3 linked regions of the Coturnix japonica genome follow. The protein of the gene in region 1 purifies or fractionates together with the protein of each later gene. This does not show direct contact. Links are inferred from orthologs where the notes say so. Each region holds a gene or a part of one and is shown on either strand. Other genes may lie near its edges. The genes, in order: TIMELESS, TIPIN and CLSPN.

Region 1 (10,436 bases):
GTCCCTGTGCCCATCGTGGTGCTGGTGGGTGCTGAGGTTTATTCTATGCCCGCAGGTGAGTGCAGCAGGGACGGCGGGGCAGGCGTTGTGCTGGGAGATCTTTGCCACTTTCCAGCTGGCGTTCACCACCTTCGCTACCACCAGCCGTGAGGCTGCTCCCAACAGGCTGGCACTGGGCAGTGCCGTCATTGCTGGTGCCCTGGCTGCGGTAAGGACCCCCCAGTGCCCCTTGTTTGCAGCCCCTTGGCCTGGCTACTCCTGACCTGCTCCCCCAGGGGCCATTCTCGGGGGGCAGCATGAACCCAGCCCGTTCACTGGGACCTGCCATCGTCACCGGCATCTGGGACGACCACTGGGTGAGTCACAGCACTCTGGGTATCCCCAGGGACCCCACTGTGGGGATGGATGACCTTCCCATCCCATCCCATCCCTTCCCATCCCATCCCATCCCATCCCATCCTCCCCCAGGACAGCCAATCCCCCTGCCCCCCCCCTTCCGGCCTATCATTTGCTCCCCCTGAATTACCCTCAGCTTCACCCCCATACAGGGTCCTCCTCATCCCCCCATCACAAAACAGGTCCCCCCAACCCCATCCTTTGGCCCTCCAGCTCCATCCCAAACGTGGTTCCCTCCTCACCCCTGGAGCAGCTCCTTCTGCTCAGTCCCCATCCCTAGTGTGGACCCCTGGCAGCCCCCGACCCCCATGTCACCCTGGGTATCCCCCCTCCTACTGGTCCCACTGACCCCCCCCTCCAGGTGTATTGGGTTGGACCGGTGCTGGGTGCTGTTCTGGCTGGGTTCTGCTATGAGTTCATCTTCGCCCCTGGTGCCTCCCGGGAGAAGCTGTTTGCCTGCCTCACCTGCCGGGATGTGGCACTAGTGGAGACCACCACCCCATCCCCTTCCTCACCTCCCACCGCCCCCCTCAGTGCTGCCTGTACCCCCCCATCCTCCCATGGCCAAGGCTTGGCCTGATGGGTGAGCTTGGGGGGGCTCCTTGCCTCCTCCCCCCCCCCACTCCAAACCATCCTCTTCCCCATGGGGATTAAAGGTGACTTTGAGCCAGAGATGAGAGCAAAGTGGTGCTGTGGGATGAGGGGGGGGGTCCTGGTGCACGGGGTCACTGTGGGGCCTCTCCTTGCGCTCCCCCCATGTTGTACCCCCCCCGTTGGCCCCATAGTGGGGGCCAGGGGGCTGCTCCTGTCCTTTGTGGGTGCTGAGTGCAGCAAAGCCTTTTGTCGGAGCCTCTGCAGCCCCGGCAGATTCCTATGGGCACCAATGGCTGTGCTCAGCCCTAATCCCCCCCCGGCCGGGGGCTTAGTGCCTGCTAAGCCAGCCTGAATGCACCAGCGCCAGGCATGGGGGGGGGGGTCAGTGGCAGCCCCCGGGGGGGGCACCTGCACCCCTGTGATGTGGGGCTGGGTGTGGGGCACCTGCAGCCCTTAGGATGTGTGGGGTTGGGGTGGGCTGGATCCCAGTGCTGCCGTCCCATTGTATCACCCCAAAACTTGGCTGGGGTCTGGGGGGGTTGTCACAGTGTTGTCCACAGCCCCAAGTATGTTGTTGACCCTAGGCCCTATAGAAGGTGGTCAGAGCTACCCCCTAACTGGCATCCCCAGGGGTGGGGGGCACAGCTCTGGGTGGGGGTCCCACACTCTTAGGGCTGTAGGACTGCCCCTAAGGGGGGCACTGGGGTCTCACACAGCACATCTCCCACCCCATATCCCGGGCAGCGAAGCAGTTAAGGGGGGGTGGCAGCAGTGGGGTCCCACCCCCAGGGCTGGGTGGGGGGGGGGGGGCTTATAAAGGTGGGTGCGGGCAGCCCCCGGGAGGGGAGCGGGGCCGCAGCGGGGCCGGGCCATGCGGGAGCTGCGCTCGTCCTCCTTTTGGAGGGCCATCCTGGCTGAGTTCCTGGGCAGCCTCCTCTACACCCTGCTGGGGTTGGGGGCTTCGCTGCGTTGGACCCCGGGATCCCATGGGGTCTTGGGGTCCGCCTTGGCCTTCGGGCTGGCCCAAGCCACCCTGGTGCAGGCGCTGGGGCACGTCAGCGGTGGCCACATCAACCCGGCCATCACGCTGGCTTTCCTGCTGGCATCGCAGCTCTCCCTGCCCCGTGCTTTGGGTTACATGATGGCTCAGCTCCTGGGTGCCCTGGCGGGGGCTGGAGTCCTCTATGGGGTGACACCGGCTGCCGTGCGCGGCACGTTGGGCCTCAGTGCGGTGAGAGGGATGGGGGGAGAATGGGGGTGTTTGGGGTATTGTGGGGCTGGGGGTGGCTGAAGGGGGTTAATGGGGAATTGGGAAGAGCACTGAGCCCATCTCCCCCCACAGCTGCACCCCAGTGTGGGTCCAGGTCAGGGCACGGTGGTGGAGCTGCTGCTGACGGCTCAGTTCATCCTCTGCGTCTTCGCCAGCTTCGATGAGCGCCATGATGGACGCCCCGGCTCCGCTGCGCTGCCCGTCGGCTTCTCCCTCGCCCTCGGACACCTCTTTGGGGTAAGGGGGGGTGGCAGCCCCATGGGGTAGGGGTGGGGGGCAGCATTCACCCACCACCCCCTCCTTGCCCGCAGATCCCATACACTGGTGCTGGTATGAACCCTGCACGCTCCTTTGCCCCCGCTGTCATCACCCGCAACTTCACCAACCACTGGGTAAGTGGGGGGGACCCTGCGGTCCAGCTCAGTCCATTCCAACCCATCATCCGACCTGTCCCAGTCCATCCCAATCAGCCTCAACCCACTGCAATCCCACCCAGTCCATCCCAGTATAACCCAGTCCATCCTATTCCTACCCCAGTCCATCCCAATCAGTCCACTGCAGCCCTATCCCAGTCCATCCCAGTCCCATCCCAGTTCTATCCCAGTACATCCCAGTCCATCCCATTCCTGCCCCAGTCCATCCCAATCAGCCTCAATCCACTGCAGTCCCACCCAGTGCATCCCAGTGCTATCCCAGTATAACCCAGTTTATCCTACTCCTGACCCAGTCCATCCCAATCAGTCCACTGCAGTCCTGTCCCAGTGCATCCCAGTCCCATCCCAGTTCTATCCCAGTATAACCCAGTCTATCCCATTCCTGCCCCAGTCCATCCCAATCAGCCTCAACCCACCGCAATCCCACCCAGTCCATCCCAGTCCATCCCAGTCCATCCCAGTCCATCCCATTCCTGCCCCAGTCCATCCCAATCAGACCACTGCAGCCCTATCCCAGTGCATCCCGGTCCCATCCCACTCCATCTCATCCCAACCCAATCCATCCCACTTCTGTCCCATTGCCCCCTATGCCCCCATCCCACCCACAACCCAACAGCCTGCAGCAGCCCCCAGTCATCCCCACCTTGGGGGGGGGGGGGGGGGGGCATCCCTTATCACCCCACTCAGTGATCCCTTTCCTCCCCACATTTTTTCCCCTTATCTCGGGTGGGTGGGGGGTCCCCTCGCCTCCCCCCCCCACGCCGCCCCGCTCCCCAATTCCCGTAAGGTTTGTTTCTGGGCGGTCCGTTGCTCGGTGCCGGGTTTGGCTGGCTTCTGTTTTTGTACGAGCTGGCGCTGTGTCCTCGGGCCGTCAGCATGGCTGAACGCCTGCCGTGCTGCGGGGGGAGCCCCCCCGTCACCGCGCCCCCCCGCCGAATCTGCTACCGGCTGAACGCTGGAGGCTGAAGACTCAGGGTCTATAGGGTCTATAGGGGCTATAGGGGCTATAGGGGCTATAGGGTCTATAGGGGCTATAGGGTCTATAGGGGCTATGGGGGCTATAGGGGTTATAGGGCCGCCCCCCCCCAACCCGGGGCCGCCTTTGCTGGTGTCGGGGCGTTGCGGTGCGTGTGTGTGCGGCGTCGGTGTGCGTGGGGGGAGTTGGCGGAGAGGTCGAACGGCCTCACCCCCCCCCGCAACAACCCCGGCCCCCCCCGCCGTGACCGAGCTTCTGTGTTCGGTGAAAATTAAACCTACGCTTAATTTTGTAACGGCTCTCGTGGGGGGGGGGGGGGATATGGGGGGTAATGGGGGTAATGGGGGTATGGGGGTAATGGGGTAATGGGGGGTAATGGGGGTGTTATGTTGTGTGGGTTGTGGATATGGGGGGGTAATGGGGGTATGGGGGGGTAATGGGGGTATGGGGGATATGGGGGTATATGGGGGGGTATATGGGGGATATGGGGGGCATATGGGGGTGAGAGATATGGGGGGTAAATGGGGGGGTAATGGGGTGAGGGGATGTGGAGGGGTAATGGGGGGGGAGGGATATGGGGGGTAAATGGGAGTAAATGGGGGGTATATGGGGGGGTAAATGGGGGGTATGGGGATATGGAGATTAATGGGGTATGGGGGTGGGGGTAATGGGGGGTTATGGAGGATATGGGGAGGGGGAATATGGGGGGTTAAATGGGGGTATGGGGGGATATGGGGGCTAATGGGGGTGGGGGGCAGAGCGCGGTGCGGTGACTTCCCGCGCCCCAGGCGATGTCCCGCCCACGGGGCGGGGCTACAGCGCAGCGTGAGCCTTTCTTAAAAGGGCAACGTCGAGGTGGGGCCATTGAGGGGAGCAGCGCGGTGCGGGGATAACGGGGGTGGGCGAGTGTTCACCGCAAGGGAGGGTGAGGGGGGAGAAGCGCGTTACGGTGCGTGGGTATTGTTTATAGTGGGCGGTGCGTGGAGGAAGGGGGGGGGGTGACCCGGTGGGTGCGGGCGTTGCCGCTTGAAGGCGTCGGGGGGGGGGGGGGGGGGGGGGGGGGGGGGGGGGGGGGGGGGGGGGGGGGGCGTGTTCTGACCGACCCCTCCCGTAGAGAGCGTGAAGGATTTGATCCGGTACCTGCGGCACGAGGATGAGAGTCGGGACGTGCGGCAGCAGCTGGGAGCGGCTCAGATCCTACAGAACGATCTGCTGCCTCTGCTCGTTCAATACCCGCAGGATCGGACCCTGTTCGATACCGTCATCAGGTACCGGGGTGTAGGGATGGGGGGGATGGTGCGGGGGCAGCATGGGCTGGGGTCCTGAATCCCACCCACACCCCTATAGGCTGATGGTGAACCTGACACAGCCAGCGCTGCTTTGCTTCGGTAAAGTGCCGTCAGACGCCACCGCCCGGCATCACTTCCTGCAGGTGCTGTCCTACCTGCAGGCGTATAAAGAGGTGAGGATGTGAGGATACAGCCATAGGGGGGGTCTTCAAATTCCCCCCCCCCCCCCCCGAACACGCACACATGGTGCTCATAAGGGGTTTTCTGCAGGCGTTCGCCAGTGAGAAGGTGTTTGGGGTGCTGAGCGAGAAGCTCTATGAAGTGCTGCAGCTGGTGGGTGCTGGAGGGATATGGGGCTGAGGGTCTGGGGCTGAGCTATGGGGCTAGGGAGGAGCTATGGGGCTGGGAGCCTGAGGGGGTGGCTATGGGGTTGAGGGCCTGGGGGGGTGGCAGTGGGGCTGAGAGCTGGGGTGGGGGGACAATGGGGCTGAGGGTCTGGGGCTGAGCTATGGGGCTAGGGGGGAGCTATGGGGCTGGGGACCCAGGGCTGTGGGGTTGAGGGCAGGGTGGGGGTGGCAGTAGGGCTGAGAGTTGGGGTAGGGGGGACAATGGGGCTGAGGGTCTGGGGCTGAGCTATGGGGCTAGGGGGGGAGCTCTGGGGCTGGGGGCCCAGGGGGGTGGCTGTGGGGTTGAGAGTCAGGGTGGAGGGACAATGGGGCTGAGGGTCTGGGGCTGAGCTATGGGGCTGGGGGGGATCTATGGGGCTGGGGGGGGATCTATGGGACGGGGTCCCGGGGAGGTGGCTGTGGGGTTGAGGGCCTGGGGGTTGGCAGTGGGGCTGAGAGTCGGTGGGGGGAGGGGGAGACAATGGGACTGAGGGTCTGGGGGGGAAGATAGGGAGCTGGGGGTCTGGGGGTGGAGCTGGGGGTCTGGGGGGGGGTCTGGGGTGGGCTATGGGGTTGCTGACAGCCATACATTGCAGGACTGGGAGCAGCGGCAGGAGGAGGACACGCTGCTGATCGAGCGGATCCTGCTGCTGGTGCGCAACGTGCTGCACGTGCCCCCCGACCCCGCTGAGGAGCAGGTATTGGGAAGGAGGGGGGGGGGGGGTACAGACACAGGGATCCCCACTGTAAGGTGCCCTACGTGCTGCCCACCCCCCTCTGTGCTGCCCCTCAGGGTGTGGATGGCGATGCCAGCGTGCACGACCGCGTGCTGTGGGCTCTGCATATCAGTGGCATGGATGACCTGCTCAAGTTCCTGGCCAGCGCGCCGACTGAGCAGCAATGGGCTCTGCACGTCCTTGAGATCATCTCCCTCATGTTCCGTGACCAGGTGAGCGTGGTGGGCACGGAGACCACCCCCAGCCCCCCATCCAGCTCTGTTGACACCCCCTAATCCCACCCTACAGAGCCCGGAGCAGCTGGCAGCGCTGGGACAGGGACGGGTGGGTGCAGAGTGTGGGGAGGACACACAGGAGCTGCAGAGTCTGAGGCAGCGGGAGCTGGCAGAGCACAGAGCACGGATGCTGCAGCGCCCAGCCAGGTGGGGAGGGGGCTGGAGGGGGGGTCAGGGCCCTGTCGTAAAGCCAACATGGCTCATCATGTGCATTCTCCCCTCCAGACACTCTCGTTTCCGTGGTTCCTACGTCATCCAGGGGCTGAAGGCCATCGGGGAGCACGACGTCATCTTCCATAAGGGGCTGCACAACGTGAGAGCTGGGATGGGGAGCAGCAGGGGGGGCTCGGTGTGATGTGGAGGGGGCTCAGCGTGGTGGGCACAGCTCACATTCCCCCCTCTCACCCCACAGCTGCAGAGCTACAGCCACGACATGGGCAAGGAGACACGTCGGGTGCCGCGGCGTCGCTGGGCCCCCCCTGAGCCGGGACCCCCCCGACGTTCAGCCCGTAACGTCCGGCTCTTCCTGAGCTGCTTCTGCCAGGACTTCCTGGAGAACTGCTACAACCGCCTGATGCTGCTGGTCAAGGTGAGGATGTGGGGGTGGCTCCCCACACTTTAAGTCACCCCTCCCAGTCTGGTTCACCCTGTGTTGAACCCCCCCCCCCAAGGATCAATTACTGCGGGAGAAAGCCCAGCAGCACGATGAGACGTATTACCTGTGGGCCACTGCCTTCTTCATGGCCTTCAATCGTGGCCGGGGGTTCCGTGCTGAGCTGGTGTCGGAGACGGTGGGTGTACGAGCCTTCCACTTCATCGAGCAGCACCTCACCAACTACTACGAGATGGCACTGATGGATAAGAAAGAGGCGACCACCTGGGCACGCAGGTGGGGGTCACAGCCCCTCCATAGCCCTGAGACCCCCTGCATCACTACCTGACCACCCCTCAATCCCCTGCAGGATGCACTTGGCCCTTAAGGCCTACCAGGAGCTGCTGCGCACGGTGCAGGAGATGGATCGTTCCCCAGAGCCAGCAGTGAGAGACAGCAGTCAGGTCATTAAGAGTGAGTCCATCCCTCTGGCCATCCATATGTGGCTGTCTGTCCATCCATCCCTCCATCTGTCTGCATGGCCCCCTCTCTTTGTGTCTGTCTATCCACATCTTTGTGCATCCATCTCTCAGCCTGTCCCATCCATCCACACTGACCCTCTCCTTTCCCTATCCCCCCCTATAACCAGACCACATCTTCTATCTGATGGAATACCGGGAGCTGCTCCTGGCTCTATTCCGAAAGTTCGATGAGACAAAACAGCCTCGTGCTTTCCTACGGGACCTGGTGGAGACGGCTCATCTCTTCCTACAGATGCTGGAGCGTTTCTGTCGCGGCCGCTCCGGCCTCGTGGTGCAGGTGGGTTGGGGTCACTAAGGGCTGTGTGTGGGTCCTTGTGGACCCTCCTGACCCCCATCATTGTGCAGAGTAAACGTGTGAGGAGGAGGAAGAAGCCCCGTCCCCCTGCAGCGCCGCAGCCGCCGGGTGCAGCCGAGCTGGAGGAGCAATGGGCAGCGGTGTCCCAGCAGCTGCAGGGCTGCATGCAGGTAGGGACAGACCCTGCTGTCATGGGGGGTCTATAGGGTGCAGGGTGATGATGTGACCCCCCCCTCACCCCATCAGGGCACGGTGCCTCTCCCTGAGGATGTGGTGCCCTTCGATGCTGCCTCAGAGACCCCCATAGAGGAGCAGCGCGCTGCAGCTCTGCTGCGCATCCAGGAGTCCCTGCGGGAGGGAAGGGCCCCCCATGCCCTGCGACTGCTGCGCTCTGCCAGGTACCCCCCAACCCCCCCAGCCCCTCAGTATATGGGGATGCAGTGCCAACCTCTGCTCTCCATCCAGGGAAGTGTGGCCTGAAGGGGATGTTTTTGGCCCCCCCGGTGTGGAGCCCCCCGAGGAGATGGAGCTGCTGCGGGAGATCTGCTTTGCTGCTCTGCCCCGTGAGTGCACGGCCCCATCCCTTGGTATTGAGGTCTGGGGGTGCTCTGGGACCCTTAACCCTGCCCCCTACAGGACCCACAGCCCCCCTTGAGGCTGAGGATGCAGAGCAACCAGAGGAAGAGGAGGAAGAAGAGGAAGAGGAGGAGGAGGAAGCAGTGCGGGTATCCGAGAAGGAGTTCAACTTCATGGACTACCTAAAGAGGTGAGGAGAACCTCTGAGAGTAATGATGGGGGGCTGCACAGAGCTGCTCACTAATTATTTGGGGGGGGGGGGTCCAGGTTTGCCTGCGTGCCCGTGGTCCGTGCCTGCACTTTGCTGCTGCGGGGCTACGCACAGAACAGTGCCCGCACCAACCACTGCACTGCACGGCTGCTGCACCGCCTGGCCCGGCAGCTGCGCATGGAGCCTCTGCTCTTCCAACTCTCCCTCTTCACCCTCTTCAACCGCCTCCTCAACGACCCCTGTGCCCACCAGGTGAGTCACAGCCTCAACCCCTCTCTGTCCCCCCCACCCCGATTCCAGCCCTGGTTTAATCCTGCTGCCCTCACCCCTCTGTGCCCCCCATCCCTCTCCAGGAGCTGGTAGACTTGGCCAAGTTTATCCTGGGTAAGTTCTTTGCGCTGGCAGCCACCAACAAGAAGGCGTTTGTGGAGCTGCTCTTCTGGAAGAACGCTACGGCTGTGAGGGAGATGAGCGAAGGTTACGGCTCCTTAAGGGATGGGGAGGGGTGAGTGGGGCCATGGGAGGGCTGTAGGGCTGACAGAGGGGTAGTGGGGATGGGGAGGGGGCTGTAGGGCTGGGAAAGGAGCTCTGACCCCTCCTCATCACCCCTTTACCCAGGGCTGGAGCACGCCGGACCCCCGCCTGGAGCCCAGAGGAAGAGCAGACGCTGCGGGAGCTGTTCTGGAAATACAAGGAGGCAGAAGGTATGAGGACATTGTGGGGGGCCAAGGGATGGTGGGGAGCCCCCTTGCAGCCCCCCCCCCCTATTTACAGCCCCCTCTCCCACAGGTCAGGACATCATTGCCTCCATCATGGCCGAGCTGCCGGGCCGCACACGGCGGCAGGTTGTGCAGCAGTTGGTGCAAATGGGGCTGGCGGGCAGCGCCAGGGACTTCCCAAGGCCAAGGTGGGGATGAGACCCCCAAGTGGGGACCCCCATGATGGGGAACGCTCTGTGTTTCCAGGGGGGCACCCAGTTGTGTCCTCCCCCCTCCCTCACCCAACAGGAAGGGCACCAATATTGTGCTATGGACGGAGGAGCAGGAGCTGGAGCTGGAGCGGCTCTTTGAGGAGTTCAGGGGGTCGGACGGTGAGTGGGATCCAAGGGGAGGGATGTGGGGGGGGGGGTCCAACTCCCTGCCGACCCCCAACCCCTCCTTACATTGACCCCTCCCCATAGACATCCTGGGGAACATCATGAAGAACCTGACGGCACGACGCTCGCGGGCACGAGTGGTGGAGAAGCTGCTGGCGATGGGGCTGGTGGCAGAACGCAGGGAGCTGCACAAGAAGCGTCGGAGGAAGAACCACAGCCCCCAAATGGTGTGTGGGGGGGGGTCCAGGGGCACCCAACCCCCCTAATGGCACCCAACCCCCCGCTATGGGCACCTAAGTATTACGGTCCCTGCAGGGTGAGGCAGATGCTGCAGCAGTTCCAGCCCATCACAGCTCTGCTGAGGACAGTGAGGAGGAGGAGGAGGAGGAGGAAGAGGAAGAAGATGAAGCAGAAGATGACCCCATGGAGGAGCCCTGGGACCCCAGTGAGGGGACGGGGCTGGCTTTGGTGCAGCGTCTGCAGGAGGAAGGTGAGTGGGGGAAAAGGGATGTGACCCCCCCCTTCATTCTTTGGGGTCTATGGGGCTGCACTGTCTGACCCCAATATCCCCAGGGCTGGCTGGGCCCCTGCAGTGGCTGCAGAACTCCCTGAGGAGGACGGCACGGGACCGTGAGACAGAAGGTGAGTGGGGCTGGGGGGGGCACAGGGCTGGAGATGGGGAAGGGGCCGGGCTGACAGTGCATCCACCCCTCCAGGGCTGTCCACCCCGGTGCCGTTGGTGCCGCTCTCAGAGGAGAACGAAGATG
Region 2 (9,828 bases), on another chromosome or scaffold:
ATTTGTTTGATTGTGACAATGCAGCTGATTTTTGATGAAATTAACTACTGACAGAATAAATCTGATGCAAAACCAGGGTTTCCTACCTGTTAGCACTGTTGAGATCTTCAGACAGCAGCAGTTATGGGGAATGCTGATTCATGTTGATGACTTTCTCAGTTAACAGTAAATGTTAAGTATCCAGCTGTCATTCCTCGTTCAGTTTTATTGGGCTTAACTCAGTAGTGCTGCTAAGAACAAAGGGAATGTTTTATTCTTCTGCATCTGTGCCCCCACTCTTTGATTATCAGTGCAGCTTTTGGGCTGGCCCTACCAGTTCTGTCACCATATAAGAAACCGACTTCTCTAAAAAAAAAGGTTATTAATTTTGTTCCATAGTTAGACTATGCCTGTTTTGTGGATGCACAGAAATAAAAATGTTTCATCACGTGGCACAGAGTAACTGTGTGTGCATGGGCTCTGAATTGTTACTATTTGTAACCTAAGTAGCAGGGGGTCATAAACAGCTGAAATAAACTATTGCAGTGTAATGGTGCTTCAAAACAGATGTGGAAAGAAAATCAGCACAGAATGAAATCTGTAAGTTTGCAACAGTTGGATGTGCTCGAAATGTTGAGTCAACCAGAACTGCTTAAAGAATTGTGGGTTTTATTTTTAAGGTACGCTGTCAGCGTCTTGTGGGAACTAGAAAGAGAATCGTACAAGATACTGAAAGTCTGCTACAACAAAAGCATCATTCGGTCTGCATACAAGCTAGTCTACGAAGTAGCACAGGGGTTATTAGATGGGGACACAAGTGTTGTTGATGAGATCCTGGAACTGAAAGACTTGGATGGAAAAACAAGAGAGAAGAAATTGTCTGAGCTGGTTTGGGCGATATCAAAACTCACCGATATAGCACGACACATTCGAGCTGAGCGGGACAGCTGCGGTGCTCTGGAACTAGAAGGGGTAGAAGTCCGAGTGCAACTGGATGATAAAAAAAACATTCATGATCTCATCCCCAAGCAGCCCCTGGAAGTACACGAGACTGTAGCAGAATGTATGATCCTTGCAAACCACTGGGTGGCAAAAAAGATTTCAGAAAGCTTTCCTCATCAAGCTTTGTTACGTCAACACCCTCCACCACGGCAGGAATTTTTTACTGACCTTCAAGAATGTGCCAGCGCCAAAGGTTTCTCAATAGACACACGGTATCTTTTACTGCTTCTCTTAAGCACTTTAACACACTTTAACTGTGATCAGGGTAACATAAATCTGAATAAAATTAACACTTTTTTGACAGGTCTAACAAAGCATTGGCTGAGTCCCTGGATAAAGCGGAAGATCCATTGGATCCAATTGTAAATAAGCTGTTGCGATCTATGGCCACTCAAGCAATGTCAAATGCATTGTACTTCTCAACTGGCTCTTGTTCTGAGGAAGAGTTTCATCATTATGGTATCCTGACACTTTCATTTGTTATAAAATTCCCCTTATTCCTGAACTGCTGTGGGGCAGCTGAATGCTCTGATTGCTTTTCATCGCTTCCTTTTTTATTTGTAGGACTCGCTTTAGATAAGTACACTCATTTTACTTCTCCTATCAGAAGATACGCTGATATAGTTGTCCACAGACTCTTGATGGCAGCAACTCTGAAGGAAACTAAGGATGTTAAGGAGAAATTATTCAGTAACAAGGATCTTGAGGAATTGTGCAAACACATTAACAACAGGAACAGGGTAAGGTGGTCACTGTGTGCGTCTGTGTTTGCATGTTACCCAGGGAAAGAGGATACCGCTCTGCTGTGACTTTTGGGTACTACAGCATTGCAACACTCCTTCTAGATACAATTTGTTTTCAGCAGGTTAGGGAATAAGTAATGGAAAAAATATATATAATATCAAAGCCATACAGGCTTCTGAGAATATTTACCTGTCCTTCTGTCTTCTCTTTTTGTGGGGGGTGCCTGCAGGCAGCCCAGCATGCTCAGAAACAGTCTACTGAACTCTTCCAATGCATGTACTTCAAAGATAAAAGCCCAGAAACAGATGAGCGCTGCGTAGCAGATGGAGTTATCTACTCGATCCGAACAAATGGTGTGCTTGTTTTCGTGCCAAGGTAAGTTGATTTGAGCTTGGACTGAGACTAAAAATCAGACATTTGCTTCTGAAATGCTGCGAGGTCACCTCTGGTCCTTGAGAAATGAAGCACTGACTGATGACTGCATTTTAGATTTTCTGTAAGTCATGAACATTGTTTTTTCCATGTTTTAATTCTGAAAAGGAGACGCTATGGAGAAAGGATTGCTCAAATTAGCAAGGTAACCGAGAAGGTTTCTGAAGGATTTCTATGCTCATGCCTACACACCTGCTTTTTTTTGTAGATATGGAATCAAAGGTGCTGCTTACATGAAAAACAAGGAAGGCTTAGTCCTGTCTTGTCAAGGTGAGGGAAGCTGTGAGTGGAAGCCTGGATCACTTCAGCGGTTTCAGAATAGAATTACTTCCACTACAACCACTGGAGAGTCGGTTACATTAAGCCTCTTTGATCACATCACAGTGAGTACTTAATTTGAAGAAAGTAAAAGGAAATAGCATAGTCAGCAATAAAATGATTTTTAAATTGCTTTTAAGGTGAAGATACTCGTGCAGACTTCCCGCTGCCACGCTGACACAATCAAGCTTGAAATAATCAAGAACGCCCCATTCCAGACTTCAGCCACAGAAATTTCCAAGAAGAATTTTGGCGTGGTGAAATCTGACTTAGTCAGAGCAGTCAGTCAGTCTGCGGAAGCGCTGAGCGCCCAGGAAAAAGCAAGAAGTGCAGTAATTGAAGAACAGTGTCCGGAGTATCAGGAGTACTGCCAGACAAAGGGAGCAAGTTTGTACCAGCTGCTGGAGGAGATCAGGGACTGGGCTCTATTAGATGTCTCAGCTGATGCATGTAGTTGTTGATGCTCTGCTTACAGTTACTTTGTACAATTTGTATATTTTTAAAAATGAAGTCATTTTAATGAGATAAATTGTCTGTTTTAAATAAGATCTCTTTGTAGCTGATCATGAGCATGCGCAACAAAGATTTTTTATGTGATAAATGTTACCTTCCAGACTAAAACCCGTGTTGAGAATCCTTTTGTTTGTCGTTCAATGAAAAAAAGCCTGCTTACCCTTGTTCTCCATACATTACATTCTTAAACCTAAAGTATTGCTTTACCATCATCCTAATTAGTACAACTGGTGGTTCTTTTCCACTCTATTGAGTTTTAACTCATACCTACGTTCACACAAAATGAATTCAGTCACACTAACCCAGAACCTCCCTTATGCACAATTCCCCAGCTGCACAACTGGCATCATATACAACCCACTGACATGAACTTGTTTCACCTGCCTTATGTGCAACGTTGGGCCTCAGGTAGGGCTGAGCAAGTCTGCTCTATGCTGCTGGGTAAGGCATTCTCAGGGCTCTGGCACAGCTGTCATCCTTGAAACTACATTCATTCTACAGAGCAGAAGAGTGCACTGGACTGCTGCAGCTATCGCATAAGAGAGGAAGAAGACAGTACTGTGACAGTACAGAGCTTTAAGCCAGGAAACAGGATCAGATAAAGTGAGACTAATTCAGTCAAAGCCAAAACACAATGTGCGATGACTTGCACAAATTGGGAAGTTGAATTTAAACTGCCTCATGCAAGAATTTGTTTGACTTTTGAAATTTAATAACTTCCATTTCATAAGAAACGCACACAACTACTTGGTGAGTTAAAAAAATATCCAGGATTCCTGTTCAAGTATAACACCATTCTCTATCATGTATCCTGCATCAAAGATGTGCACGCAAACTTAACATCTCAGTCAAATTCAGTTTGACATCAACTGAAGGATGTCAGAGTAGGCCAGGAAAGCCATTTCCTAAACAATGTCAGTAAGAGAACAAAACAGTCTCATCTGCAGCTGAAGAACAGTGTTCTGCTTTCCAACATAGGGAGCGATTCATCTGCAGCTTCATGAAAACAGCTGTGACCAGCTCCCCAGACGTAACAGTTAAGGCTTTCCTGAAACCCCTGGAGTCAGACTGGAAAGAACCAGCAATGTTTCAATACAAGCGGTAGGAGTTGGCGTCCTATGAAGGACCCCCCTAGAGTTGGGGTCCTATTAAGAAAGTCCTTCAAAGCATGAGGAATGGTCACTGCTTTTCACTGGCACATTGCAATTCCTTTTCTGTGTCTTCAGTCTCTGTAACAGCAACACTGGCCGCAGTAACTTGAGTGTCTTCTAAAGCACCAATCATTTCCTGAGCAGCGGGGATGTTAAACTCCTCTTCAGGATAACTATGAGAGAGCCCTGATAAAGGAAAAACAAAATGCCTCCTGTGAGAAAATGCTGTTGCTGTGTGCCTGATGGCTGCAGTTTCCGTTGCCTGAATCACAACCTTCAGGAAAGCCAACACTAGAATCAACTAGCAAGTCAGCCTCACTTCACCAGAGACAAGCTATCACAGTTCAGCTTGTCAGCTGGGGAGAGTGGATCTCTGAGCTTTACAGGGATCTACCTACGGGACTGTAGTTTAAGATCAGGAGTTACAGTTCTCTACTCTCTAGTAAAGCAAGTACCAAGGACCTTTTCCTCAGCAGCTCAGCTGTCAGAACCTCTCAGGCTGAGCTTACACTGACACTAGAACTGCTTACCATCATGCTGGGACTGGCTGTTTAACTGCATCTTCGCTTTCCGACGTTCCAAGGCCAGCTGCCTGTTCCTCTCGATTCGCTGCTGCTGCTCTTCAGTGAGAGTTGTAACCGGGAGAGAATCGAGTTCTCCAGAGAAGGAATGTACGTCTTCGGTGGGCGCATCCAGCCCATTGCTTCCACCTCCACCACCTGGGTAAAAAGGAATGGAGGGAGAGAGCCAGAAGGAGCAGGAAGCATCACACTGAACACAGACCTTCCACTAAATATATATCAGAAAAGCATTTTAAGTAACTCCTGATTATATTCCACATTTTAAAGTTGTATTTTGAGTAGGACAGCCACGCACACTTTCCAGCTGGTGACTTACCAGCCGTACGGTTGCCAGTGCGGTTCAAGAACACACCAGCACTGTGCTGCAATACAGATGTACGGAACCATCGCACAGAACATCTGATACCTCTACAGATACTGTCGGCAGGAACCATTAACCTCACTATCTGTGGCTGCTCACGGCTGCATTCCATTTCTAGCAAATGCAGCCAACAGCAAAGACAGCCACATGTCATCAACCGCCCAAAGGCAATGCCCACAGGCAGGGCAAGGCTTTACCATCACACAGCTTGTTCATCAGAACTGAACTATAAAAAAGTGCAGATAATTGCTTCAAGAGAGACCCACAGGGAGAGAGAATATAAATATTTGCAATGGACGTTAGGAAAGACTACAAAGTTCTTATTCCTACTAAAAGTTCCTTTCAAGCCACACACTTTTAATACGTACAGGAAGCATTTTATTCTGAGTCTGGTTTTACAGCTCTAAGTCCTACATAAGCCTGGTTGTAAAGGAGGACCACTCAACAATAGCTTCTACAGCAGGAAAATGTACCACAATCATGAACTCCTCGTTAGTAAGAGGGGCAGTACAGTTTTAAGTACTGAACTGAGAGTGCAACAAACTTACCTTCATGAGCTGCGAAGTCTTCATGTAAAATAGGAAGATCGAGTCTAATTCGTTTTAGGCAGGTCTGCAAATGAGGAAAAATTAAACTAGGGATGTTTCATCTATGAAAAAATCTTGTCTTACATTGATATGTTTTTAACAGTATTCCCAGTTTTTCTTTATGCTGTACTATTCTGAAATAATATTTCTTTCATGCATCTGTTCGACCCAAAACTTAAATACCACAATCATTTTTCTAGTTCTTATTCTATCATCAGCCACATGAAGCAACATTCTTTATAAGCCTCTGAGTCCAAGTTCAAGCATAAGTAGTTCCTGCACTCTAACGCTGATTGCTTCTGTAGAGATGCCCTATTAAAGGAGATCCATATAACTTAAATCTTCTGCTGTGTGCCTGTTCTCCTAAGCCAACTCCTTATACTGCTCATTACTGCATGAAAGCAAACCGACAGGAGTAATACATACCTGAACCTCCTTTTTGTTTCCCAAAGACTCTACTTTGTCAATAAAATCATCAAACTGCAACTTTGGAAATAATCTATGAGCCCAATGCTCCATGTGTCGTAGAAGCATCTTCAGATCCTCTGCCTTGAGCATAAAACAAGAAATCCAGCTGTTAGAAGCAGATTAAATCAGCAAACTGCAGAGGGAAACATGATAGCAATGTTTCTGGAAACACAAAGTGCCCACAGTTGGAAAATCTCTTGAAAATCAAAATAATATGAATGCTTGGGTAACCTTCCATCCTGCTATCAAGTTTGTAAGTGCAATTAAAGCTGGAAGAAAACAAGCAATAAGAGCTCGGGAAAAGCATTTGCGTGCACTGTGAAACACTTGGTAGGTTTCTGAGATGCCTTTAAGCAATGCAGGTGCAATTCCCAACTAAAATTTCACAGGGCACAGCTGGTATTTATTTTGATGTATGTTTTTGTGTGTTCTGCATTCCAGATTACCTAGGAAATCCTGTAAAGCGATTCCAATTCCCAAAACCTCTTTTTGTGGGTAAAACAGGGACAGTAACCGGCATGGTTTAAGATTAAAATGTCCATTTCACAAAGCAGCCATGCAGAGTATTATTTTTCAATCTTGCAACTACAAACCACAGCAGGATGTGCCCAAATACTGTCAGAAAGCTGCTGTTTAACCAGAGTTCGGTATCAATCCTCCCCACACCAGACAGGCAGCAATCTGTTGATTTCAGCTAATCTGCCAGGAAACACCCCAGAAGTTCACCACGTCTTCACCACGTCTTACCTCGTGCCCTTTACCCTTGAACTTCACACTGTCAAACATGTGTCTTAAGGCAGGAAGTCCTCTTTCTGAAACTAACCTGTAAACATGCAATGGTAAAATTACCTGAAATCCAGCTTCCTCCTAATGAAAAAGAAACAAGCACACATTCTCCCTTATCACCCGAAGCTACAGAACTCTATTCAGGACAGATGGAGAAAACACAGGAAATAAGACTGCTGTAAGACTTGAGAGTTTCTGAAAATACACAATACATACATCCCCAGTCCAAACAGCTTTTTTATTAGGATTACACGGAAAGAAAATGGAACAGTCATTTCTGGTACCTACACTGGCCATGTAAAACTTGATACACAACCCAAGCCTTCAACAGTATGTTTAAAACAAAATGTACCTGAAGCTTAGGTACTTTCTAATGCTCGTGAGGAACTTACACCAGTTTTGGCAGTAAGAGCAAGGAAAGTACTTGCATCCTTTACAGGCAGTTTATCTACTTCAGATGCAAGTCAGGTGTCAGCATTAATTACATAACACACCTCGCAGACATCACTGTACTGAGGATTCACTCAAGTGCACTTGAAATCACAGTAACCTTAATTACCACATCACAGCCATGCACCAAGTTTATCAAGGAAAGAAACACTAAGTCCAAAAATACCTGTGAGCATCTAGTTTAGGTATCGATCTTTTAACTGCTTTCCGTGCAGCTGCAGAAGAATCCTTTGTTTCTGACTGCTGGTTTCCATCCAGATCTAACCAAGAAAATCACACACTGTAAGCATACAGCACAAATGGCTCACTCACTTTTTGATTCAGGCTAATACTCATACATTTGACTGCAATGGATACGGCACCACAATCCATCCCAGCAGTAATTACTATCACACTGATTTCTTGTTTAAGACTTTGCCAGTCTAAACATCAGACACCCAGGAGTTAGAACTCTAATTTTCGTACATCAAGAATTACGTACTTCCTGCTCCCTTGTTCCACACACAGAACATTCCATATACAATTGATAGAAAGTAACTTGAACTTTATTTTTTGCTTTCTGTCTTTGTCTTAAGATAGAAAACCAACAACCAAACTCCTACCATCTCCCTGGAATGCTGGCAGTCTTGTGTGCATGCATGCAAACATTCCCATGGCATCTACAAAGGTAAACTCACTGCACAAGTATGGATCAAGAACAACTTAACTGCTTTTTTTACTCTTGGATTATTTTTACTGAGTAAGCACAACACATTGAAGTAGAACTCCAACAAAGCTGATCTCTCAGCATTTCATTCTATACTGAAAAATCTCCAGGGTTCACAGGGTTCTCACCTCCATTAGCTTGAGCCCATTCAACATCAGCTCTTCCTGGAGACGCAGGAGGTGGGAGGGGTGGAAATGTTTCATCTTCTGTATTCTCATAATCAGGGAGATCAAACAAGTTGTTCTCCAGAGGATCTATCATGGCCACAGATTAACTTTTCTTCCTCCTCCTGTGGGAAACAAAGAGCAGATGAGAGAACTGGGATGGGGAACTCCAAAATTCCACAGTGGAGATGTGGTCAGGGGACACAGTGGGGGTGAGTTGGGATTTGGGGGGTCTTGGAAGTCTTTTCCAACCTTAACGAGCCTATGAAATATCAGAAGCATTTAAAAAGAATGCAAAAACCAACAAACCTGCCACAGAAACAAACATCAGCTACGTGAGACCCAGCCCTTCCACAGGAAGCTCTGCCAAACAGCACGTTACATAAATTAAGCAGCAGATACTATGCAGAAGGATGACACAACCCAGTATTGCCGAGCCAAGTAAATTATGGGCTTCTCACACTTGGTTACCTGGGAGTGGTGGCTGTGGGTCGTTGTAAGAACACAAGCACACAACAAAAGCATTTCAGACTAAGTGCTTTTCAAGCCAGCTGTTATCCACACAAACTAACAACTTTAGTCTCCTGAGCTGCGGGTCCCCCAACCTACAGCTTATCCCTTCAACCCACAGGCCAGGGCCGAGGTCTCTCAGGCTCATGACGGCCCCAGCTCCTCACATCCCCGCTCACCAGGCTGAGGGCTGTTGTATCTCTCCACAGCCGGGCTCACACACAGCTCGCCCCGACAGGAGCCCGCCACGACGCCCAGAGCCGCACCCTGAGGCCCCGCTCCCCTCACACCTCCAGCCCTGACGGTTTTCCCCTTCCTACCGCCTTAAGGAGCTTCTCTCCTGCTTTCAGAGCGCTGGGAGCTCCGGACGAAGACACCAAATACCGCTCAAATACCACACAAATACCACACAGCACAACACCGCACAGCACCGCACAGACACCGCCGAGCTGAGGAGGCTCCCCCGGCCGGCCGGGCTAATGCGCATGCGCAGCTGCTGCGCTCCGCCGCTGTTGGCGCCAAGTCCGTTGGGCGGAGCTGCGTGTAGCGCCGGTAACACTGAGCGGGTTGAATTAACACCGGAGTCAGAGGTTCGAATCCCCCCTGTGGCGCGAGTGGTAGAAGTGCCGCTCTGCAGCACAGACGCTCGAATCCCGGGGGTTGGACTCGATGATCTCTGAGGTCCCTTCCAACCCACACGGGACTGTGATACTATGATACACGCGTTTCCCTTCAGCCCGAGTGATTTTACCCGCGTTTAAAACGCGTATTTCTAAATAGATGAGCATCTCTTGCAGTCAGCACCACATAACGTTGTGCTGAGAGCGGTAATCGCTTGATATCCCAAATGTATTTAACAACAAGTCATGGTTTATCTTACTTTGGTCGTACTGTTTCCAAGCTCAGCTCCCGGTGCTGGCACGGCGTCGGTCCGCCTTCCCCTCCCTCACTGCGCATGCTCCCGCTGGCCGCGCTTGCGCTTCCTTGTGGCCGGTGATTGTGCGCATGCGCAGTTCCGGGGCAGGGCGCACTTGGATCCCGTGCAGTTATTTTCCGCCGTGCTGTGCGCGCTCCGC
Region 3 (7,665 bases), on another chromosome or scaffold:
ACACAGACCTCATGATCACCTTCCTCCTCTTCCTCAGACTCATCTGTCATCTCTTCCTCCTCCTCCTCCTCCTCCTCCAGCAGCTCCTCATTATCCAGTTTGAACAGTGCTTGCCGTTTTTGGCGCTCCTCACTCCTGCGGAGTTTCATGGCCTCCTGGAGTTTTGCCTTCAGCACTTGCAGCTTTTCACCTGGACAGAAATGAATTAATTCCTATGTTAGATGTACTACGTTGAATCCTGAACCTTGTTGCTTTCAAGCATCCAATGTAATGCAACTACACGTACATCAACGCAATTTTAAAACAACTCGTTTTTTAAATGATTTTATGAATTGATCTGTCAGCTGGAAGAGAGAGAGAGCCATGGGCAGATGTGTTATAGCACAAGAAATAACCACCACAACTCCCAGACTGACCTGGCTTTGTGAGGGCTGCTTCATCCAGGCTCTCTGCAGCTAAAACCGCTGGCACCACGTCTGCTTTTAGTTCCTCCTTTCCTTCCGATGTGGTTTCCTTACGAATAATGTTCATGTTTATGGTCCGTTCTGCTTTGGGTTTCGATGTTTGAAGGGTGTGCTTCAGGAAACGCGCCTTCAAGGCTTCTAATTCTTTAAATCCACATTGGTTGCATGAAAAGTAAATGAATTTGATACTATTAAATTTGTATCAAGAGCAGATCTTAACATTTTTTCAAAAGAAGTTAATTAAAAACTGTAAACCCTGGACATTCTGGTAGTTATAAAACAATTTGACATAAGAAATCGTTACAGAGTATTTCTGCAGTAAGTAGTACTACATGACATTACCACTGAGTATGATTTATCCACAAGACCTCAACTCAATGCCACTCTGCACTTCCAGCCACCAGGAATCTCTACATTTCTCTTAATATATATACTAAAGACTAAAGGCTGGAGTAAGCATTCCTTCAGGCATGTGAGTACTAAGGAATCAGAATTTCCCATTCCACCATTAGTTAAAGGAAACACATTAGAATCTGTAATGGTAAGAAAACATGCCTGACTTTGCTCTAACGCTTCTTAGAGGTTTTCCTTTTAAATTTAGTTTCACTCTGCTTACTTAAGAAGATCTGACAGTATGACAAAAATAAGTGATACCTTTATTCATATCAGATTCATCGAGGTTTATAAAAGATTCATTGCCAGAGCAGATTCTTGGCTTGATGGTCAAATCAATTCCCAGCTCACGGAGTTTATCCAGTTTGGACTTCTTCACTTTTTCAGGCTGTGCTGTTGATTCAGGCCTCACTTGTTGGTTGTTTTCCAGGCCTGATGCTGTTTCACCTCTTTGCTCCAGAGCATTGCCTTCAAATGGTAGAGGAACCTCACTCTCTTTCTGTTCACTGCAATCAGTGCTTAGGACTGATTGCAGTTCTTCTGTTTCACTGGCAGTTGTTACAGTCACAGCACTACGAGAATCATCATTGTTCTTCCTGGACTTTTCAGCACAGTCTTCTGTCAAGTTCTGCCCTACACCAAGGCGAGGATCCTTGGCAGCAGTATCAACATCTCCACCAAGATTTGCTTCTGGCTCATTAGCTGCTGACTGACCACCTTCTGTTGGCCCGTCTTTGCAACCTGTGCTTGAGGTCTTCGTGCCTTCAGCTTCTTCATTCAGGGTGAACTGGTATTTAGTGGACCTAATGAAGGCAGAAAGAAATTATGGTTATCAGGAAAGGAGAGAAAAGGCTGAGAACAAACTGAGAGAAGAAAATAGTTTTCTCTTATTGATGTATAGGAAGAGGTGAAGGATAAAAAACTGGAGCAAAGGAGGGATATCCTCAATATTCCTGATAATACATGAGGAAGGTTTAAGTCCTTACTTCAGTAACGCCATGGCATTTCCTTCATACACTGGTCGGGATCTACGCTTGTAGAATTCACAAACACTTTTGGCCTCAGGCATATGGTATGGGAGAGACACAGATGATTCTGAAAGTGCAAGAAAAATTGAATAGTCATCTAAGGCATTTATACCTTTAAAAAGGTCCTTGATTAAAAGCGGTCTTTTAATCTTCAACCCTAAGTAACTAATGCCAGGTAAAAGAAAGATCCACACTTTCAGACAAATCCTTTCCATTTCTCCCCTGAATTTCTTACTAATTTAAACCCCACTACATACTAATAGAATTTAGTCGTACCTCTAATGAGTCGCTGGGTCTCACTGTGTAGCTGTTTAATGGCTTCCTTACTCAACTTTGCTGCTTTCCGCTCCTTAAGAAAAGAAAAGAAAGGTCTCTGAAGTCAGAATGGAAAATTATGGGACTCTATTCCCTGAATAGCTGTTACTCTTTCAAGTAACAAGAAGTCAGCACAAAACAACCAACTGAAACTGACAAACAGCAAATCAACAACAGCATAAGATAGCATTGAAAAGGCACCAAAAACTCCCAGTGGTTTGAGTAACTGTAACAAACAACATAAAAATACTTCACCTTCCTTTTCGGTTCTTTTAATGCAGATTCCTCGTTATCATCATCAAACACATGTTTGTAGCCTTCATCCTCAGAAAACCGTTCTTTGTTCTACAGTGTGTAAAAGAGAGATTCATTTATTTCAGTACATAGACAGGCATAGTGAGGGCAAACAAGTCAAAATTATTATATAATATCATAACTGGTCACCAAAACCAGCAAAACAGGATCTGTACACATCCTCATCAACGAGCACAAATCCTGTATAACACTATGGCAAATCTCCAAAGCTTCTTTTGTAGCCTTATAACTTTCCAATACACATTCCTCTATCTTCAAGAACAGAGGACTGTTTTACCCTCTGTTATAAACAGAACAATTGTCAATAGGTTTCACATATGCTCAAATAAAATGCTTTCTGCTAATATCCATCAATGTTCTATTGCTATACCTTGTACTTCTTTATTTTCTCTTTCACTGCAGCTCGTATTGACTCTATTGACTCTTCGTCCCCTGCGAAGGAATCATCTTCCTCTTCTAAGCCATTATCAAAAAGTTCTTTGTCATCAAGAAGACACCCACTGTCGTTTGAAGGATTCCTCTCACCACCATCCACCTGCTGGGTCCAGAAAGAAAATAGCTGAATTATTTGTTTCAGGATTTCCTCTTCAGTTCTTCTATGTGCATTTATTACTGTCAACAGATCTCGAGGGAACTTAGAATGTGGGTATGGCCAAACTTAGTCTAGCATCTGCTTTGCCCATAAGCCGGACTTGTTTACTTCAGAGCACCGCAAAACTGATAAGCTAAATTTATGGAGCAGTGTTCCCTACAGCTAAAATTAATGGGACTCAATAATCCTTGTGGATATTATACCCTGTCTGTTGCAGTAATGAGGACACAAAGGACGCAGAAGCACCGAAACAAAAATACTGATAAACATTTAACTTAATGTGGAAAGCACCTGAGATTTTCTGCCAAAAGCACATACCTCTGAGCTCGGCTTCTTTCCTTTTATCAGCTGTTTGATGGACTCAGCTCTTCTCTCCCTCTCTTTTCTTCTTCTGGGTTTCCCCACAGCTTTTTCAGCTGCTTCACCTTCAAAACCATGTTTATGCTTTCTGGATTTTTTCCCAGACTTCAGCTGTTTCTCCTCTTCCAGCTCATTCTCAGGCAAGTCAGACTTCTTGCTTGTGTCAAGATTATCAGTTTGCAAATGATCCTCATTGTCACTGCCATCGCTGTCCAGCACAGCCTGCCGAATCCGGGATTTCTTGTTTCTCTGGGCAATAACATCCTCCTTTTCCTCTCCATTTTCTCTGTCTCCACTCTGAGATTCCTTCTGCACAGAAGAGTCACTGTCCTCCCCATCTTCGCTTTCACTGTCCTGAAGCACCTTCTTGCCTTTTGCTTTTCTACTTACAAAAATCTCTTCTTCTGAATCTGGAAAATTATATTAAAAGAAGTGATACGTGCTATGGAAAAGCACATTACACTGGTTAATTAGCAAGCAATCGGTTATCAATACAGTGTATACAGTTATGCATCTGTTAAATGTTACAGATGTCAATCTATTTAACTGTTGGCATCAGTTATATTGACATGAATAAAGTTTGAAATAATAACTTCCCTTTCTGTACCTCTGTCATGGTTTTGTAATTTTGCTATCAGTATTCCACATCATAACATCATGTAAAGCATGGATACTTCTATTGAATGTGCAGTCCACAGAAGAAGACTACAGATCCCAGAGAACAACAAGGTCAGGGATGAGTCACGGGACCAGGACGCTGTATAATCTTGTTCCCAGGCTGTAGCTCTCTCTTTCTTTTGGACTCTCAGAGAGTGGGAAGCGTTCCAGCCGTGTCGCCTCTAGTTCACAGTCGGCCTCTCGGTTTTTGGGGACTCTCTCTCTTGTGTTTCGTTCGATTTATTAGCCTCAATTATATTATATTGTGTTATCTTGTATTCCGATATCATATTTAGTAAAATAAGTTTTTCCTCCTTAGACTGCCGCTGTTTTTATCCCATTTTCCTTTCCCCCCTCCTTTCCAGGCCCTGGGGGCCCTATGGGGTGGCTCCCCCCTGTCACGGTCATAGGTAAATCTCAATAACTCGTGACAACCTCGAAACCCCTTTTTGTCAGATCTACAGCTCTCTGGTCACATCCTAAGCAACCAAAGCGGCACTTTGGCCTCATACAGCCCAGCAGATCCCCACTGTGAAGCCCATCAGCCCCATTACAGACCTCCATCCTGCAGTGACGTGGTGTTGATGGCTGGTGATGGGGGCTCAGTGCTGCCCTGCCCGCTGTCTGTGTCCCTGCCCTGGGCCTTCAGCGCAGCCACATCCAGCTCTTCTGCTTGGAGCTACAAAGCAAAGGGCAGCTGTTCTTAGCAACCAACGACTCATAGGGCCCAACTGAGGCCTTGCTGTGCTCCTTCATAGGATCACATAGACATCATTGGCCTTTATTTCACAGAATCACAGAATCACAGAATGACCTGGGTTGGAAGGGACCTCAAGGATCATGTAGTTCCAACCCCCCTGCCTGGCAGGGCCACCAAACATACACATTTACTAGATCAGGTTGCCCAGGAGACTCCATAGATCCCCATAGAGACCCCATAGATCATGTTGCCCATGGCCCCGTCCAACCTGGCCTTGAACACCTCCAAGGACGGGGCATCCACAACCTCCCTGGGCAGCCTGTTCCAGGGCCTAACCACTCTCCTAGTGAAGAACTTCCCCCTAACATCCAACCTAAATCTTCCCTCCTTTAACTTCAAACCATTTCCCCGTGTCCTGCTATTGTCAGCCCTTCCGAAGAGTTTAAGGGAAGAGTAGGTTCCCTTCAGGTATTGAAAGGCTGCAATGAGGTCTCCCCGCAACCTTCTCTTCTCCAGGCTGAACAAACCCATCTCCCTCAGCCTGTCCTCGTATTTCCACACTCTATCAATGTTTATTAGTGTCTAAACGTGCCTGTGCCCCACGTGACCGCACACACACACAACTCAATCAGCGCTTTGAGTTCATTACGACCAAACGCGGCCTACAACCGGAAGTGAAGCGCCATCACACCGGAAGGCCGCCACGAGCTCCCACAATGCACCGCGAGCCGGAAGTGAGCGCCGCCTCCCTGAGCATTCTGGGAAATGCAGTCCTGAAGCAAAGGCGGGAGGACGGAGCTGCGGGGCCGCCCGGTTGAGCTGTGGAAGCTCCGCCATGTCGCTCAATGGCCATGTCCGCCCTCAGCCCTGCGGTCACAGGAGCTGTAATATCCCCGGTAGGAGGCAGATGAACACACGGTGCGGTCACACTCACCTCAACGGGAGCCGCCATGACCCGGCCCGGCCTGTGCCGCCTAATGAACCTCTTCGAGTCTTCGCGCGCTGCTTTAGCCCCGCCCTTTTTTAGCACCAACCAATCATCGCTCAGCACATCCCTTTAAGCCCCGCCTTCCTTGTGTCTGATTGGGTGTTTGTATCTCTTCGCCCCGCCCTCTCCAGCACCGTCCAATCAGCGCTCTCCGTGTGGGGGTGGAGCTCCGTGTGGTACCGGGGTCTCCTCAGTGCGGGGTCGGGCCGCGGTGACACCACAACCCGAACCTACACAATGTAAGATCCGATTCACCTTATATATATATATATATATATACACGACAGGTCCGCACTTTGTACAATATAAAAACGGTTTGATAACGTTTATTAGTTGTTTTGTCGCAATTAAAAGTCAGGCTGCATCTCGCAGCGTGATAAAGGGAGAAAAAACAGCAATTTCTGAGGTTCCCGGTGACATTTGTGAGGTGTCCGCTGTTATTTCTGTGCAGATCCGGGTAATTGTGGCTGTTTTTATGTCTCTAACACATCATAGAACGGACAGAGTGACAACAGCGGGCTGCCAGGCCGCACAGCGCCTCTTTAGTTACCACAGGGCCTGAATTTGGCTCTAATAATGGCTCCGGATGGAGGCGATGTTTTATATTGTGTAAAATGTGTTTTATATTGTGTAAAATGGGGTTAAAAAGAGCCGAGAACCAACGGACCGAAGCGCCTCATTGCTGGGAGGGGGCGGGGCGCGCTCACCTGTGTGCGTAACGACGTGCGCGCTCCCGCCCGCCAGCAGGGGGGCGTTGTGCGTGCGCGCTCCCGCGGCTCAGGGCAGCGTGGAGGGGGCGCGCACGGCGGGAGGCGGCGCGTGCTGGCGGCGGCGGCGGGGGCGCGCTCGGCGGCGCGCAGCGGGGGGATTGTTTGCAACGCCGCTCGGGGTTAGCGGAGCTCCGGCAGCTCCCCCCCCGCCGCCGCCGCCACCCCCCCCACCGCCGCTGCTCCCCCCCGTTTCCTCGCCTGGCCCACATCCCGAAGTCAATATTCCCGAGATCAAGCGTTACGCGGCGGCGGCGGCGGCGGGGCCCGGGGCGGCCGGTGGGGCCGGGGGGGACCGCAGCGAGGCCGCCGCCGCCGCCGCCGCTATGGAAGCGTTGGGACCCGGTGAGATACAGCGGGAGGGGCGAGGCCCCGGTGGGGGCTGTACGGGAGAGGGGAGGAGGTGGAGGAAGCGGAGGCCGCGGGCTCGGGAGCCGCTACAGGCCGCTGGGCCGCGGGGAGAGCCTGGAGCGATGAGAACCGAACGACACGGCCTGGAACCGGCTGGGAACTACGGGGGAAGTTTGTGGGGCGGGTGATGGCTGAGCTGTCAATGGGGCACTCGGGCTGTGCTTGGGATGGGCGGCAGCGGCTGTGAGCACAGAGAGGCTGTGAGCACAGAGAGGCTGATGAGGGCGTTATATTGGTCAGCAGCCTGTGGTTGAATGCTGGTGTTATTTTGCATGTGGTGTTTTCTTGCTTGTGTTTTAATAGCCGAGCTAATTCTTCTGCCGGTTGGGTTTCTCTACCGAAGTGTGACTTGTCTTGGTATAATTGTTAATTCGGTTGAAATATTAGGTATTTATTGATACTAAGAGAACTGGGCTTGTTTAGCTTGGAAAAGAGAAGGCTCTGGGGAGACCTCATTGTGGCCTTCAAGTACTTGAAGGGAGCGTATAACAGGAGGGGGAACGGCTGTTTGTGAGGGTGGACAGTGATAGGACAAGGGGGATGGTTTTAAAGTGAGACAGGGAGGTTTAGGTTGGATATAAGGAGGATGTTTTTCACCCAGAGGTTGGTGATGCACTGGAACAGGTTGCCCAAGGAGGCTGTGGATGCCCCATCCCTGCAGGCATTCAAGGCCAG

The links.
Region 2: the proteins of TIMELESS (region 1) and TIPIN purify together in Homo sapiens (affinity purification with western blotting; 6 studies listed by BioGRID and IntAct, counting the BioPlex papers as one, with this or other methods). This does not show direct contact. The link is inferred for Coturnix japonica from reciprocal best matches to the Homo sapiens genes TIMELESS and TIPIN.
Region 3: the proteins of TIMELESS (region 1) and CLSPN purify together in Homo sapiens (affinity purification with western blotting; 4 studies listed by BioGRID). This does not show direct contact. The link is inferred for Coturnix japonica from reciprocal best matches to the Homo sapiens genes TIMELESS and CLSPN.

The regions. Positions count from the first base shown.
Region 1 is NC_029544.1:1,735,750-1,746,185, forward strand, and holds the start of TIMELESS (protein timeless homolog), read left to right. Parts: upstream 1-3,745; coding exon 3,746-3,818; intron 3,819-4,784; coding exon 4,785-4,938; intron 4,939-5,017; coding exon 5,018-5,132; intron 5,133-5,229; coding exon 5,230-5,292; intron 5,293-5,941; coding exon 5,942-6,043; intron 6,044-6,138; coding exon 6,139-6,294; intron 6,295-6,370; coding exon 6,371-6,504; intron 6,505-6,582; coding exon 6,583-6,670; intron 6,671-6,769; coding exon 6,770-6,946; intron 6,947-7,028; coding exon 7,029-7,246; intron 7,247-7,319; coding exon 7,320-7,423; intron 7,424-7,598; coding exon 7,599-7,768; intron 7,769-7,836; coding exon 7,837-7,956; intron 7,957-8,032; coding exon 8,033-8,184; intron 8,185-8,251; coding exon 8,252-8,349; intron 8,350-8,422; coding exon 8,423-8,552; intron 8,553-8,629; coding exon 8,630-8,825; intron 8,826-8,926; coding exon 8,927-9,078; intron 9,079-9,191; coding exon 9,192-9,277; intron 9,278-9,362; coding exon 9,363-9,480; and 10 more. Other genes in the region: lens fiber major intrinsic protein-like, read left to right, coding at 1,862-2,221, 2,333-2,497, 2,572-2,961. UniProt on the Homo sapiens protein: Plays an important role in the control of DNA replication, maintenance of replication fork stability, maintenance of genome stability throughout normal DNA replication, DNA repair and in the regulation of the circadian clock.
Region 2 is NC_029525.1:16,731,204-16,741,031, forward strand, and holds TIPIN (TIMELESS-interacting protein), read right to left. Parts: upstream 9,749-9,828; 5' UTR 9,633-9,748; intron 9,189-9,632; exon of another isoform or gene 9,036-9,188; intron 8,606-9,035; exon of another isoform or gene 8,552-8,605; intron 8,368-8,551; 5' UTR 8,340-8,367; coding exon 8,207-8,339; intron 7,633-8,206; coding exon 7,539-7,632; intron 6,960-7,538; coding exon 6,884-6,959; intron 6,218-6,883; coding exon 6,095-6,217; intron 5,694-6,094; coding exon 5,630-5,693; intron 5,229-5,629; exon of another isoform or gene 5,093-5,228; intron 4,859-5,092; coding exon 4,670-4,858; intron 4,326-4,669; coding exon 4,168-4,325; 3' UTR 3,681-4,167; downstream 1-3,680. Other genes in the region: DIS3L (DIS3-like exonuclease 1), read left to right, coding at 660-1,193, 1,286-1,440, 1,546-1,721, 1,955-2,100, 2,366-2,540, 2,616-2,936.
Region 3 is NC_029538.1:3,748,700-3,756,364, reverse strand, and holds the start of CLSPN (claspin), read right to left. Parts: upstream 5,869-7,665; 5' UTR 5,777-5,868; coding exon 5,759-5,776; intron 4,804-5,758; coding exon 4,683-4,803; intron 3,878-4,682; coding exon 3,426-3,877; intron 3,054-3,425; coding exon 2,886-3,053; intron 2,546-2,885; coding exon 2,456-2,545; intron 2,235-2,455; coding exon 2,162-2,234; intron 1,953-2,161; coding exon 1,844-1,952; intron 1,661-1,843; coding exon 1,119-1,660; intron 609-1,118; coding exon 417-608; intron 191-416; coding exon 9-190; intron 1-8. Other genes in the region: protein argonaute-4, read left to right, coding at 6,906-6,924.